Arabidopsis thaliana: one gene and its partner. The protein of the gene in region 2 interacts with the protein of the main gene of each other region in a pairwise test. Each region holds a gene or a part of one and is shown on either strand. Other genes may lie near its edges.

Evidence for each region. The genes of interacting proteins can lie anywhere in the genome.
Region 1: the proteins of AT3G26370 (region 2) and ABCA7 interact in a protein complementation assay, tested with the Arabidopsis thaliana proteins (one large-scale study listed by BioGRID).

What each region holds. Positions count from the first base shown.
Region 1 is NC_003074.8:17,622,463-17,630,446, forward strand, and holds ABCA7 (ABC2 homolog 6), read left to right. Parts: upstream 1-1,877; 5' UTR 1,878-2,037; coding exon 2,038-2,109; intron 2,110-2,297; coding exon 2,298-2,664; intron 2,665-2,741; coding exon 2,742-2,821; intron 2,822-2,897; coding exon 2,898-3,042; intron 3,043-3,284; coding exon 3,285-3,404; intron 3,405-3,497; coding exon 3,498-3,622; intron 3,623-3,738; coding exon 3,739-3,897; intron 3,898-4,011; coding exon 4,012-4,174; intron 4,175-4,263; coding exon 4,264-4,389; intron 4,390-4,484; coding exon 4,485-4,568; intron 4,569-4,669; coding exon 4,670-5,016; intron 5,017-5,096; coding exon 5,097-5,297; intron 5,298-5,437; coding exon 5,438-5,547; intron 5,548-5,638; coding exon 5,639-5,723; intron 5,724-5,801; coding exon 5,802-5,930; intron 5,931-6,015; coding exon 6,016-6,510; 3' UTR 6,511-6,823; downstream 6,824-7,984. Other genes in the region: ABCA6 (ABC2 homolog 5), read left to right, coding at 1-216; ABCA8 (ABC2 homolog 7), read left to right, coding at 7,122-7,193, 7,282-7,594, 7,686-7,750, 7,832-7,976.
Region 2 is NC_003074.8:9,654,280-9,661,151, forward strand, and holds AT3G26370 (O-fucosyltransferase family protein), read left to right. Parts: upstream 1-2,400; 5' UTR 2,401-2,606; coding exon 2,607-2,915; intron 2,916-3,090; coding exon 3,091-3,141; intron 3,142-3,233; coding exon 3,234-3,324; intron 3,325-3,494; coding exon 3,495-3,571; intron 3,572-3,695; coding exon 3,696-3,784; intron 3,785-3,877; coding exon 3,878-3,997; intron 3,998-4,172; coding exon 4,173-4,289; intron 4,290-4,385; coding exon 4,386-4,529; intron 4,530-4,617; coding exon 4,618-4,741; coding exon of another isoform or gene 4,742-4,804; exon of another isoform or gene 4,805-4,829; coding exon 4,830-5,021; intron 5,022-5,102; coding exon 5,103-5,462; 3' UTR 5,463-5,666; downstream 5,667-6,872. Other genes in the region: AT3G26350 (proline-rich receptor-like kinase), read right to left, coding at 1-451; AT3G26360 (Ribosomal protein S21 family protein), read right to left, coding at 1,684-1,693, 1,799-2,094; AT3G26380 (Melibiase family protein), read left to right, coding at 5,861-5,940, 6,036-6,189, 6,274-6,531, 6,612-6,786. UniProt on the Arabidopsis thaliana protein: Glycosyltransferase involved in the biosynthesis of pectic type-II arabinogalactans.

The DNA of each region.
Region 1 (7,984 bases), 8.0 Mb from region 2:
GTGGAGACATTGGTTCAAGAAGTTTCCTCAAATGCAAGAAAGATATATCACATCGCAGGGACTCAGAAGTTTGAGTTCCCAAAGGAGGAGGTTCGAATTTCAGAAGTCTTTCAGGCCGTGGAGAATGCGAAACGCAATTTCACTGTATTTGCTTGGGGATTTGCGGACACAACTCTTGAAGATGTTTTCATCAAGGTTGCTAAAACCGGCCTTTAACTAATGTCTTCTTTTGAATACTTTTAAGATTATTAGTTATGTCTGTTCCACGTCAATATTTTGCTTGTTCATGTTTGATAAATTGATAATGCAGAGGTTTGATTCATGTACATTGTTGGCTCTTCGCCTGCAAGTTTGCGAATTAGTCTGAGGTCTTGTATTAGTTTGTTTGTGGATGATGCATGTAACCACAATTTTTTTATTTAAACGTGGCTATATTTAATTGTGGATAAACCACTGAATATGAAATTTTATTTCATCTACCATTCAGATCCTAAATGTATATCTTACCATTTAATTCATATAGGGTTTACGATTTAAAATTTAGAATTTCGAAAATAGTATCTATATTAAAAGATAGTAATTAGGTCTTTTTTTCATTGAATTTTACTTAAACATTGGTAAAATTTCATATGCCATCGAAAAAAGAAAATATCACTGAAAACTATGTTAGCTGCCGGAGACAACATTTCTAAAAAGAAAGACAATTTTTAAAAAAGACTACAAAATACTCTGTTGTTCCTTTTTGTTTGATTGTTTAGAAAAAAAATTTGTTTTTAAGAAATTAATTTTTTAAGTTTTCCATGCAATATTTATTGGTTAATATTGGTGAATTGTAATTTTCAAGAAAAATAGTTAGTTATCATTGGTTTAGAGTTATAAAAAATTGTAAAACACTAAAAATAATACATTTATAATCAAAATTTAATATGTTTTCTTAATATATGTGTTTTTCTAAACAATATAAAAAAAGGAACAGAGGGAGTATAAATCAAAACTGTTAAACCAAATTTTTTACCAATTAAATCTTAATTATATCAATTGGTTCTTCTCCGAAATAAGAAATTGTCTTGATGTCTATGAAAATCACAAATTTCACTAAAAATTTATGGAGGATTCCTAATTAACTTTAGACCAGGAATTTTTCAAAAAATAAATTTAAAGATGACATTATCATGAACACATTCAAACTGAAATCAAACCAAAGTAAATTTATTTTCCCTGTAATGGACCATAGAGTATAAAGTATTTAAAACTGCTACTTATTAAATCAAAGACTTTTGTGTTTTTTATTGTGTGCAAAGACTTTTTATGTTTGAAAACTGAAATAAGACTGCTAGTAAAAATATAAACTGAAATAAGAATTTTTCTTAGGACATCATAACATTTTTGCTTCTTGTCCAAGTAACTGCCACATTGGAAAAAAATGTTTAGATTTGAACAAATCTTTTTAAAATGGTCAAAAAATTATCATAGTCAACCAAATTACCCGACACTTTTACGTGAGACATTAAAATAGACTAGTTTAATCGATTATGTTCACACGTGATTACGTCTGAGATGACGTATGAATCATCTTTATACAAATACAAATATACAGTAAACAAATAATTGAAACTCACCTCTTCCACTAGTCGAAGAATCTATTGGTCGTGGCATCACTCTCCTTCGCAGCTTCCTACCAAATTTACATTGAAAATATTCTCCATTGTCACTTTCTCGATTTCGTAAAATTACCTTTTTGTTATTTGACCAAAAGAATAACCCCAAAAAAACAATACTAATATATTCGAGAAAAATAACTAATTAAAGGTATACTTAACGAGAAATTAAAGCGTGTGCACAAGGGTATTACTGTAATTTCACATTCCGTATCTGATCTCTGTTCTTCTTTCCTCCGCCTGCTATAAACCAAAAGGCGGTGACTCGATTTGTTCCTTCTAAGTTCAAAAATTGGGTTTCCATTAGGATTCAATTTTTACTAACCCTAAAAAACAGAATCTAATACACAGAGAAAAGCGAAGGTTGTTACCTTCATCAATGGCGGATCCTGGTCCTGCCAGTTTCTCAACGAGAGCCAATGCCTTGCTTAGGAAAAACTTAACCTATCAGGTACTTTTTCCGTTTTCTTTTCCTCTACGCAATCCAATTATACACATACAAATTTTCGTTTAATGTGAGTAAGATTCTGTTCTGGGATTTTCGTTTAATAGATCAGTTTCCACAACAAAATTAGTGGCTGATTTATTGAGTAGATTCTGTTCTAATTATGTCTTTGTGTAAATTGTGTGTTGGTGTAGAAACGGAATCTATGGAGCAATATACGGCTAATCATGATCCCATTCTACCTCTGTATACTTCTAGTGATTATACAAATCCTGTTCGATACACAAGTTAACAACTCTGCTGATAATCGTTGTGGTTGTGAATGCATCGAAAGAAATAGAGCTGGAAAATGCCAAAGAGAGCTTTGCGGTTTAGAACATTCTAAACCGGATCAAGCCTTCTTTTGTTCTATCCCTCGTCCTCCACTATGGCCTCCTTTGTTACAAATCCCGCGTCCTGAGAGTCGCGATGTTAGAGGTCTTCGTGATGATTCTTGCAGAAGAACAGGATCTTGTCCTGTTACTATACTCTTTACTGGAAATAACCGTTCCCTTGGAACAAGTATGTCTCTTTTCCTTCTTTTTTATGTTTCTGTTCTTGTGTACCTACACTGGAACTTATCTTCATGTTTTCTTTAGCTGTATCTGAGAATCTGTTCACTAGTTCTGTGTCGGCGAACGCCTCTGAGATTTTGCGTACTTTAGCCAACAATGTTTTGGTAAGTTTTTTTGGTTGGTTTCTGTTTGTTTCCATTATGAAATGTGTTTCTTAGCTTTCTTGACCTCATGTTTCAGGGTACAACAGTTGAGGCAGATTTCACCAATTATCTTGATCCAGGGATTGCCTCAAATCTTTCCATCTACAATATCCAACCTCGGTGCATTCTAAATGCTACGTTTCCGTTCTCATTCGAACAACCACCTCTCAAGTTTGAGAAAGGTATTGAGTTTTTAATCCCATTGATGTTTAAGATGTCAACTAAAAAAGTTTAAGAGGGATACTAGATGTTATATATGCTTATATCAGTGTTAGCTTAATGAAATCTGGTTGCTTTCTCTGTTTTCGTATCCCGATCTTGTTGAACATGATATATCTTTCTGCAATATATTGTCCTCACTCATAGTTATCTTTCATGGAAACATCGTTGTAGTTGATTAACTTAATGTTTGTGACAAAACCAGAGTTGAGATGTGTTCAAGGATCAAATCTTTGGACAAATACCTCCAAAGAGGTCAATGATAAGATTTTCAAGGGTTATAAGAAAGGAAACCCCGAGGGAAAGATAAATGAGATCGCTGCAGGTTCGTCAACTTCTCAGTTGGGTTATCTATAATAATCTTTAATAAGCTCATGAGATTTCTGACTCTTCATGTCTGATTTTGTTGTTGGTTTAGCATATGATCTCTTGAACACTGATAGGAACAATTTTAATGTGCACATCTGGTATAATTCAACGTACAAGGACGATGCAGGAAATAGACTTATAAAGTTGATCCGTGTTCCCCGCTCAGTCAATTTGGTAAGAAAACAACAATTTACTCAAGACATCCTTCATCATTGTATTCTCACTTTGCTCTTTACCATGTAGCACCACTTTCTTTATTGAACCGATGCTTACACTTTACCAAACTGCAGGTGTCAAATGCTTACCTTCAATTTCTACAAGGACCGGGGACAAGGATGTTGTTTGAATATGTCAAAGAAATGCCTAAACCAGAAACAAGTCTTCGTCTGGACATTGCGTCTCTAATTGGCCCCCTTTTCTTCACCTGGGTTATTCTTCTTCTGTTCCCTGTAAGTTTGCCTTCAATAATACTCACCCTCATGGATAAATCTTGGAAACAACAAGAATTCTGCTTTCTCCAAGCGTAAGATACGAAATTCATATCTAGAGCCATTTGTATGCAGGTGATCTTGTCGTCATTAGTGTATGAGAAACAGCAACATCTAAGAATTATAATGAAAATGCATGGCCTAGGAGATGGTCCTTATTGGATGATTTCCTACGCCTATTTCCTTACCATATCCGTGTTATACGTTATATGCCTGATGATATTCGGGTCAGCAATAGGTAATTGAAGCCTTTCGGTTAATACATTTCTTACAATACATTATGTTTTTTTGTCAATATGAGTCTTTAATGTTGTTGGTTCCCTGCAGGACTGAAGTTCTTTCGGCTTAATTCCTACAGCATCCAGTTCGTATTCTATTTTCTCTATTTAAATCTGCAAATCGCCCTTGCCTTTCTAGTTTCTTCAGTATTTTCAAAAGTCAAGACATCAACAGGTACTAAGAACATCGTGCTTCTTGAATTTAATCAAGAACATGCTACTGGGGTTTAAAGGAACTAATGAGCTTTTCTCTATATGTCTTAATCATAGTTGCTTCTTACATATACGTGTTTGGATCTGGACTTTTGGGTTTGTTTCTACTCAACTTTCTGATTGAAGATTCATCATTCCCTAGTAAGTTATTATGATTAATTAACTTCAAGAAAGATATTTAATACACTCTGTTATGTGTTTTCACAACTGACCACGATTGCAAATGAATTATAATTTTCCAGGAGGCTGGATTATTGTCATGGAGTTATATCCTGGCTTCTCCTTATACCGTGGCCTGTATGAGTTGGCGCAATTTGCTTTCCGGGGAAACTTGAGAGGGGAAGATGGGATGAAGTGGAAAGATTTTGGTGATAGTGCAATGGATGATGTTTTTTACATCATTGTCGTTGAATGGTTTCTTGCACTCATTGCAGCATACTATATCGATAAGATATCTTCATCCGGAAGAAACCCGTTGTTCTTCTTGCAAAACCCTTTCAAGAAATCTCCTTCTTTGAGAAGACCTAGTTTGCAGAGGCAAGGCTCCAAAGTCTCAGTTGATATGGAAAAACCAGATGTTACTCACGAGGTATGTCCAAAGACTTTACAATATATTTCATGTTTTTCATAATATATACTGGTTCTGATAACAAAAAATGTTCCAATCAGAGTAAAAAAGTCGAGCGGTTGATGCTTGAGTCGAGCACAAGCCATGCGATTGTATGTGACAACCTGAAGAAGGTGTATCCTGGTAGAGATGGGAACCCGCCTAAATTGGCAGTTCGTGGGTTATCTCTTGCAGTGCCTTCAGGAGAATGCTTCGGCATGTTAGGTCCCAATGGTGCTGGAAAGACTTCCTTCATCAATATGGTCAGTCAAATGGACAAAATATTTTGTGCACATTAGACCTTAGCTTCCAATATCATTGCTGATCGAGAAACTCTATCTAGTGTATGCCCAAACGAATTGTGCGTCAGCCTTAGTAATATGTCCTTTGTTTTCTTTGTCAGATGACTGGGCTCCTGAAACCGACATCTGGGACAGCACTTGTTCAAGGTTTGGATATATGCAATGATATGGACAGAGTGTACACCAGCATGGGCGTATGCCCGCAGCATGAGTAATTAAATTCTTGAAATTCATTTCATTTTGTTCTTCACTATAGATGATATAGTTGTTTAATCATTCTCTTATTGTCTGTCGTATACCAGTTTGCTATGGGAAACACTGACAGGAAGGGAACATCTGCTGTTTTATGGGAGACTTAAGAATCTCAAAGGCGCTGATCTCAACCAAGTATGTTATCAATCTCGCTCACCTTCTATATTACTTCCATTGCTCAATCTATTTCTCATCGTTACTTATCTGCATCAGGCTGTGGAAGAGTCTCTTAAGAGTGTCAACCTTTTCCATGGAGGAGTTGCGGACAAGCCTGCTGGGAAATATAGCGGAGGTATGAAAAGACGGCTGAGCGTAGCCATTTCACTTATCGGGAATCCTAAGGTACAACACTAAGCCTTTAAAAATAGTAAACCAAAAGGGATAAGCTCTTTCAAGCTTACCAGACTCGTCCTCATTTCCTTTGAAGGTGGTTTATATGGATGAGCCAAGTACAGGACTTGATCCAGCTTCGAGAAAGAACCTATGGACTGTCATCAAGCGTGCAAAACAAAACACCGCGATAATCCTCACAACCCACTCAATGGAAGAAGCAGAATTTCTATGTGACCGATTGGGTATTTTTGTGGACGGAGGCTTGCAATGCATTGGCAACCCAAAAGAGCTGAAGGGAAGGTACGGTGGATCTTATGTGTTTACGATGACAACATCTTCAGAACACGAGCAAAACGTGGAGAAGCTAATTAAAGATGTCTCCCCAAACGCCAAGAAGATATATCACATCGCAGGGACTCAGAAGTTTGAGCTTCCAAAAGAAGAGGTTCGGATCTCAGAGGTGTTCCAGGCTGTGGAGAAGGCGAAGAGCAACTTTACCGTTTTCGCTTGGGGACTCGCCGACACAACTCTTGAAGATGTCTTCATCAAGGTTGTGAGAAACGGTCAGGCCTTTAATGTCTTCTCTTGATCTTCTTAGATTCATACGTCCATATTTTGTCCAATGTCAATATTTGCTTATTATGTCAAATTGCTACCACATGATACGAAATTAGTGTTTATAAGATTTCATGTATATTACTGGAAATATGTTACAAGTTCCTGATTTTTCAATGAGATTATACTTGAAACAATTACTAGCGCTCCTGAAGCAAAGAGGCGACACTTCAACACTAGGAGATGTTTTTCAATGTCATAACCATTTGTTCTACTCTGTTTCGGAGTTCATGTATCGGCTATTAAAGTTGGTTGGTAGCAATAAACCCATATTTTCGACATTGTCGTAATAATGAAAATAAAAAACCATATCTATCTTATTATATTCATATTTGTGTAGGTTTTGGTAGAGAGTTCATTTCTTAGGTGAGTGATGCAAATGAATACTATTACTTGACCTACACGAAATATCATACAAAAAATCACAGTGCTATTGTCCAATACCTGTATGCCACTTCAGTAACGTGTATAGTTAAACTGTTATCTCTTAATTCTTGTTATTTTTAGTGTGCACATCTAAAAAACAACATTTAGAGACTTCTTAAAAACTATTCAACTCCATCAAACCTTCTCATATTCTCTGCGATGGCGGATTCTAGTCCTGCAAGTTTCTTGACTCAAGCCGACGCTTTACTGAGGAAGAATTTAGTTTTCCAGGTTTCAATACACTTTTAATATCTAAAACGGCTAAGACAGAGTAAAAAGTTTACAATGAGGTTTTGTTTCCTTTTGTTCTTTGATGCAGAAACGGAACATATGGAGCAACATACGACTCATCACAATCCCTTTCTTTCTCTGTTTACTTCTCCTTGTTATTCAAATGCTCTTCGACACTCAATTCAACGACGTCCATGGTCAATGTGGCTGCAACGAGAAAACTTGCGGCTTAAGGTATTCGACTTCAGAGCAAGCAGCTTTTTGTGCCATTCCTAATCCACCACAATGGACTCCACTACTTCAGATCCCGGCTCCTGAATACCGAGCCGCGATCCCATACCCGAGCCATACTTCCCCTGCAACTTTTCTCTTCACCGGGAATAATCAGTCGCTCGGAAATAGTATATAAACCCTATCAATCTACTCCTTTGAGATGTGAAATTTTTATATGTAACTCTTTTTCTATGGTCAACAAATTTTTTCTTTTGCTAGTTCTAATGGGAAATATGTATAGCAATTCATCTGGATTTGATGGAGATTTAGCCTATTATGTCTTGGTAAGTTTCATGAAACAATGTTACATCATGAATATGTTTTTGTGTGTTTCTCAGTCTCTGATTTCTAATATATATATGCAGGGCTCATCATCTTTCCCTGCATACACCAATCATATGGACTCCGCTTTCATCTCAGATCTTCCCATCTACAACATCCAACATGAATGCTCACCAAACTCTTCTTTCTCAATCTTAATTCACCAATCACCTCTTGCTTTCCCTAAAGGTCTAACA
Region 2 (6,872 bases):
TTGGAGCGGTTCTCCATGGACTTGGTTTGGGTATTGGAGGTAATGTTGATCCATAACCCCCTCCGTTGCGTTGTGGTGCTTGTGGTGGTGGAGGTCGTTGTTGTTGATTATCTTCAGGGCTTAATAGCAATGGTCTTTTCGATGAGTTTTGAGTTTTTCGTGGTGGAAGTCTCTCCTCTGGGCTTAATGGTACAGGTATTACAGAATGTTTCGGTTCTTGGATTGGATTTTCACGGTGGCGACCACGAGTCTTGATTAGGATTCCTGGTGGAGCTACTGGGTGAGGTTGCGTGGTTTTGTGGTGCGATTTTTTTGGGTGCGGAATGGGCGGGATGTGTGGTTGGTTCGAAGATGTTTGTGAGGTAGAAGCACCACCGCTTTTGAGATGTGGATTCTGCGATGGAATTCGCGCAAAATGAGGGTTAGTTTCATGGTGATGATGATGAGACATTTAGATGAAGAAGCTAAAAAGCATCAAAGGAAACTAAGTTAAGTAAGACTTGAGATGAAAGAATGAGAACAGAGAGATTTTGAACTGTTTTAAGTTTCTAAATGAGATAGAGAGAGGGAGAGAATAACTTGGTGACAAGTTCAAGTAAGGATTCTTTGTTGTAGAAAACAAAATAAAGAAGGAAAGTGATAGCACGAAGCAAGTAATCTTTGTTGTAGATTCCTTGCACTAAAATTAAAATCAGTTTCTAATCTCATGAAAAAGTATAAAAACATTCTCTGTATCTTTTTCTCATTCAAAAGTTTTTTTAAGAAAATTGTAATTACTCGGTCCAATTTATCTAAAACCCAAATAAAAAGATCTCGATTTTAGGAGAGACAGGGTTAAGGACTTACAGTAACAGTCATGAATATGTCAATCTTTCTACTTCAGCTCACTCCAGGGGAAAGATGTTGATTCTCAGAGCAACTTACGAAAACTTGTCGAATATGTCAGTAAACTATGAACATGTTAAGATATGTCTCCCATAGATCAAGAAGGCCGCAGATTAGTTAGCGCAAATCTGATGCGAAACACGTTGCTTCTGCAGGTAGATACTCTGTTCTCTGCTCAATTTCTGCAGCATCAAACATGAAACCAACTCTGCAATGCCGGTTACTGCAAACGTTGACAAAGACAACTACCAATCGAGCCTGACCAAACAGATACTAGTAAAAAAGCTGGAAGCAAACTGAAAACTAAACCCATACAAAAGGTATTTTCCACGATCTTCGGTGCAATTGTTCTTCCTATATCTCTTATCCCCATTCTTTGGCATGGCATGGTATATAGTAACATGAATATACATAAAATGAAAGTGTAAACGCCTGGAAAGAGCTAACCTACGCTTTACACGCGAAGAAAGCAGAACAATCTCAGAGTAATCATGGCCGGAACAAGAAACACAATTCAAGCACAGAGACCCACAGAACACAGTCATACAGAGTGCAGGAGAAGCAACGCACTTGCCCTGAAACAACTTTCAATACATGTACTCCTAAGATCTGATGTTCTTTCTCAAGATCATTGAAAACTTACGAAAGAGAAGCCATAGAGTAAACAACTAATCAAATCCAAAATTCCAATTCCACATTGATTCAACTCATCAAAAGTTCAAAATGTAAAACTGTGTTATATCACACACAGATACTAGTACTGATCAACATAGCAGCACTCTTGCTTCACCTCAGCTCTCATAAACCTCTGCAAAGAATAACAATAAGAAATACGCAAGATCTTACTAAACTAAACAACACCATTAAAACCCTAAAAAATGTGAAGCTTTTGAGAAAAATCAGAAAACATTACCTGACTTTCTTGATGAGGATTGATTGGAGTTTTCGAGCAAAGTCAATGGATTTGATTCTGCGTTCAAGATTCTTCCTAGCGAGAACCTTCTTCTCCGAATTCTTAATGTGATGAGTCTGAGTCCCTTTGATCAGCCTCTCCATTCCACTCGATTGCATCTTCTTCTGCAAAATCGTCAGTGCCTTGTCTAAATCATTGGAGAACACCTTCACTCTTATCCCTCGCTCTTGCTGCAACTGCTGGTTTAGACTCGGACGAGTCACCAACCCCGTAACTCGCTTCGCTATCGTGTTCATCTCTTTTACTTGTTTTCTGAAAAAGTATGTTTCTGAAAACGTAAATGAGATTGACGAGAGACAGTGATAGGATCTGAATTCGACTTACCGGTCGGAATCTCGCCGGAGAGAATCAAAGAGCCAATTTGAGTGATGATGGAGAATGTCTAGGTTAAAAAAGAGGCGATGGAGGAAATGAGATAAAAACCAGAGAATTTACTAATATAGGGGTGGTTATGTAAGTTTTATGAGATATAGGGATGTTTTTGTAAATATCCTTAAATCTAATCTTCTGTTTGATTCAGAGAGTATTGACTTTAAAGAAGAACATTCAAGCCTTTCAAAAAAAAAAAGCTTCTTTAATTTCTCTCTCTCTCTGTGGAGTGTTCGAATCTCCAAGCTCTCTCTCAAATGGCAGCGTCCACATAGTAGAGCTGAAGAAGCACTGTATCTATCTACAGAGAAAGTGAAGAGGAAGAAAAGGAAGAGAGGATATAGAAATTAAGCTGGCGACTTTTAGTCCGAGGCGAGCAATGGCAGAGTTACGGCACTCGAGCTCTCTCGGTAGCCGATCTTCTTCTTCTCCGTTACGTGCCGCCGGAGATGAGGATTCTTCATCGCCTCATGTACACGATCACTCTCCTAACGGCGGAGACGACGAAGATGGTCGCCCACGTCATCCTTCTAGAGATCGAGACCGTCCGATCTGGTTTCACTCTTTGTTTCCTTTCTTCGGTGATGATCCTAGGGTTTCTCCTCAGAAGAATAAAATCTCGCTTCTATTGATTTTGATTCTCGCTATTGCTAGCTTGATCTCAGTTTATGGGATTATTAATCACTTGGTAAGTCTCTTCCTTCGATCTAGGAATTGAGATCTTCAAGGCTCTATGTTCTAACTGTGGAATCGATTTGGAAAAGTATTTAGCTTTGTTTTGAGTAAAGGGGTTTGTTTATTTAGGTGGATTTGGATTGACATTGTTCTCAGACTAAGATTGCTTCTATGTCTATCTTCTGCAGAATGCTCCTTATTTATGTAAAAAAGATGGGATTGTGCTAAACTGTCCTCATGTAAGTGTTTGAAAACTTTGGTTATGTGTTTTGTTGAATGCATAAGCTTTGAATCCTGTAAATTTAATTGTGTGTTGGTTTGCATTTGTAAGGTAAAAGAGTCACCTTCTCCTTGGGAGAATCCTTTATCTGCAACAACTTCTTGGAAGCCTTGTGCTGAGCGGCGGATTGGTGGAATCTCAGGTATTGAAGGGCTAGAGCATTGTCATTTTCATTGTCATGTGTTATTTTTTTTTTTTATTTTTTTTTTTTCGTCGAAACACATTGTCATGTGTTATTGATCTGTCTTTTCGTGAAAGTTCAAGTCTTTTTCCTTGGTTAGCTTATTAGATTGTGTCAACTGTTTTTTTCAGATCTTCCTCCTGAGAATGAAACAAATGGCTATGTATTCATTCATGCTGAAGGTGGTTTGAATCAGCAGCGAATTGCTGTATGTATCTTCCAACTTTTATCTCTTTTTCTTCTCGCCATTATCCAATCATGGATCAATGTCTAAATGGCTGTTGTTCTTCTTGCCATCGTCCAATCTTGAATTCATGCCCTTTTGTTTCCAGATCTGCAACGCAGTAGCTGTTGCCAAGATTATGAATGCAACACTGATTCTACCAGTACTGAAGCAGGACCAAATATGGAAAGACACAACGTAAAATCATATTCAGATATTGATTTCATTTCATCTTGAATTACTTCTCTATTTTCTTTTTGGTTTACTGAGCTTGTTAACTTTCTTTTGCAGAAAATTTGAAGACATTTTTGATGTAGATCATTTCATTGATTACTTGAAGGATGATGTCCGAATTGTTCGAGACATACCTGACTGGTTCACTGACAAAGCAGAGCTATTCTCTAGTATAAGGTTTGCTTGTCAACTCATTATTTGTTGATGATGTACTTGTTGGACGATTTCAAAAGTTAGCTTGTGGAATTATGGCGTCACTGGGTGCTCCTTGTGTATATCTCTGATTTAAAAATCGATCTGTATTTTTTAATCAGATATGATGTTGACCAAGTTATTTATTTATCTTCTGCAGAAGAACAGTCAAAAACATTCCCAAATATGCAGCAGCCCAATTTTATATTGACAATGTTTTACCTCGGATAAAGGAGAAGAAGATAATGGCCTTGAAGCCTTTTGTCGATCGACTTGGGTATAACCAATATTCCTATAGTTTAGTGCTCAGATTTTGGAAATCGTCTTATAAACAATGAATGATTTATTCTTGTGATGCTGGAAATTTTTTCAGGTATGACAATGTACCTCAAGAAATCAACAGATTACGATGCCGTGTAAATTATCATGCTCTCAAATTTCTTCCAGAGATAGAGCAGATGGCTGATTCACTTGTTTCTAGAATGAGAAATCGCACTGGAAATCCAAATCCATATATGTATGCCATATCAGAGATTCGACTTTGTTATAACTTAGGACCATATGCATTATATCAACTTAAAACTATACCCATGTCTCTTGTATAGGGCTCTTCATCTTAGATTCGAGAAAGGAATGGTTGGTCTATCGTTCTGTGATTTTGTGGGGACAAGGGAAGAGAAAGTTAAAATGGCAGAATACAGACAAAAGGAATGGCCTCGGCGTTTCAAGGTGACATTTATAAGCAGTTGTCAACTTCTTTTGGTGGCTAAACAACCTCAACCGCTACCTTAATGAAATTTCTTGACATATATTGCAGAATGGTTCCCATCTCTGGCAGCTCGCCTTGCAGAAGCGCAAAGAAGGTCGATGCCCTCTTGAGCCAGGAGAAGTTGCTGTGATCCTACGTGCAATGGGCTATCCAAAAGAAACACAAATCTATGTTGCATCTGGTCAAGTCTATGGCGGTCAAAACCGTATGGCTCCACTAAGAAACATGTTCCCAAATTTGGTAAGCACAACACCGGACTCTTATAATTCTTTGATGAATCAGCACAAACTTGTCTCTCACATTAACTGTCCTTTGAATCAGGTAACAAAGGAGGATTTAGCAGGCAAAGAGGAACTAACAACGTTTAGAAAACACGTTACAAGTCTTGCGGCTCTAGATTTCTTGGTGTGCTTGAAATCAGATGTATTTGTGATGACACACGGTGGAAACTTTGCAAAACTGATCATCGGAGCGCGTAGATATATGGGGCATCGCCAGAAATCAATCAAACCGGATAAAGGGTTGATGTCGAAATCATTTGGGGATCCTTACATGGGATGGGCAACTTTTGTGGAAGATGTAGTTGTAACCCATCAAACACGAACCGGTTTACCTGAAGAAACTTTCCCTAACTATGATCTTTGGGAAAATCCTCTCACTCCATGCATGTGTAAAGCTTGATGATGATGCTTTTGTTTGGTCTTGGATTTTGTCTGATGAGGAGCAACAAACTATAGAGATTCGTAGTTTTCTTCTTCTTCTTCTTCTTTTTTGACCTTTCAAATCTTTGAAGTCTTCATTTACCATCTTTGTAATCATTTTGATATTATGTAAAGTTCCTAGTGATGAAAAAAAAGTTTCTTTTTTATATTAAATTTGATCAAATTGATGCACTAAACTTTAATTAAAAGAAAATTAGCTCAACGGTTACTAATCCAATTCTTAATTTTTTGTCACGCTCTCTAATAGTACCCGCCATTAACACAACCATTGCGTGTTGTCTTCTCTCTTACTCTCAGGTTCTCAACAACAAAAGAGGAAAACAAAATCAGAAGCTATCGTAATCAGTTCTCATCTCTATGACCGGACTATCCGTAGAGAAAACCGGGTCGACCCGGTCCACTGTCTTCTTCATCATCTTTAATCTATCCATTTTTAGGTACTCCGCTTCACTGGGTTTTTGAATTTGATTTTGGTTTTTGAGTGGGTGGTGTTTGAGTGATCGATCAATCACAAAAGTTTCGTCTTTTTCAGTTTATCGATTGAAGCAAGGTCGAGGCAACAACATGCTAGCTTTCCTCCAAGAGGATGGAATTCGTACGATTCCTTTTGTTGGACTATCTCTGAAGCTGAGTTCTTGCAGAGTGCTGAAATTGTTTCTAAGCGTCTTCTTCCTCATGGTTATCAGGTAATTGTGAGTTTCTTTATCCTTTAGAATGTAAAAGTTTAGGTTTTTAATTGCTTGTGTTTGTGTGTGTTGATTTGGATACAGTATGTTGTGGTGGATTACCTTTGGTATAGAAAGAAAGTTGAAGGAGCTTATGTGGATTCTCTTGGGTTTGATGTGATTGATGAATGGGGAAGATTGCATCCTGATCCAGGTAGATGGCCATCTTCTAGAGGCGGTAAAGGTTTCACTGAAGTTGCTGAGAAAGTTCATAGAATGGGTTTGAAGTTTGGGATTCATGTTATGGGAGGAATCAGCACACAAGCTTATAACGCAAATAGTCTCGTTATGGATAGTGTTAAGGTATTGAGTTGATTGATTCTTTCTGAGTTTATGAAGTTTGTTTGGAAGTTATCAACAAGTGAATCTTTTAATGGTTGAAGGGAGGTGCTTATGAAGAATCAGGTAGACAGTGGCGAGCGAAAGATATTGGGATCAAGGAGAGGGCTTGTGTTTGGATGTCGCATGGGTTCATGAGTGTGAATACCAAGTTAGGTGCAGGAAAAGCATTCTTGAGGTCTCTTTATCGTCAATATGCAGAATGGGGCGTTGATTTCAGTAAGAGAATCGACTTCATTTCCGTAACCTTCTTTAACTTTATTCGATATATGATTATCTCAATCTTGTCTCACTTTCTTGGTCTT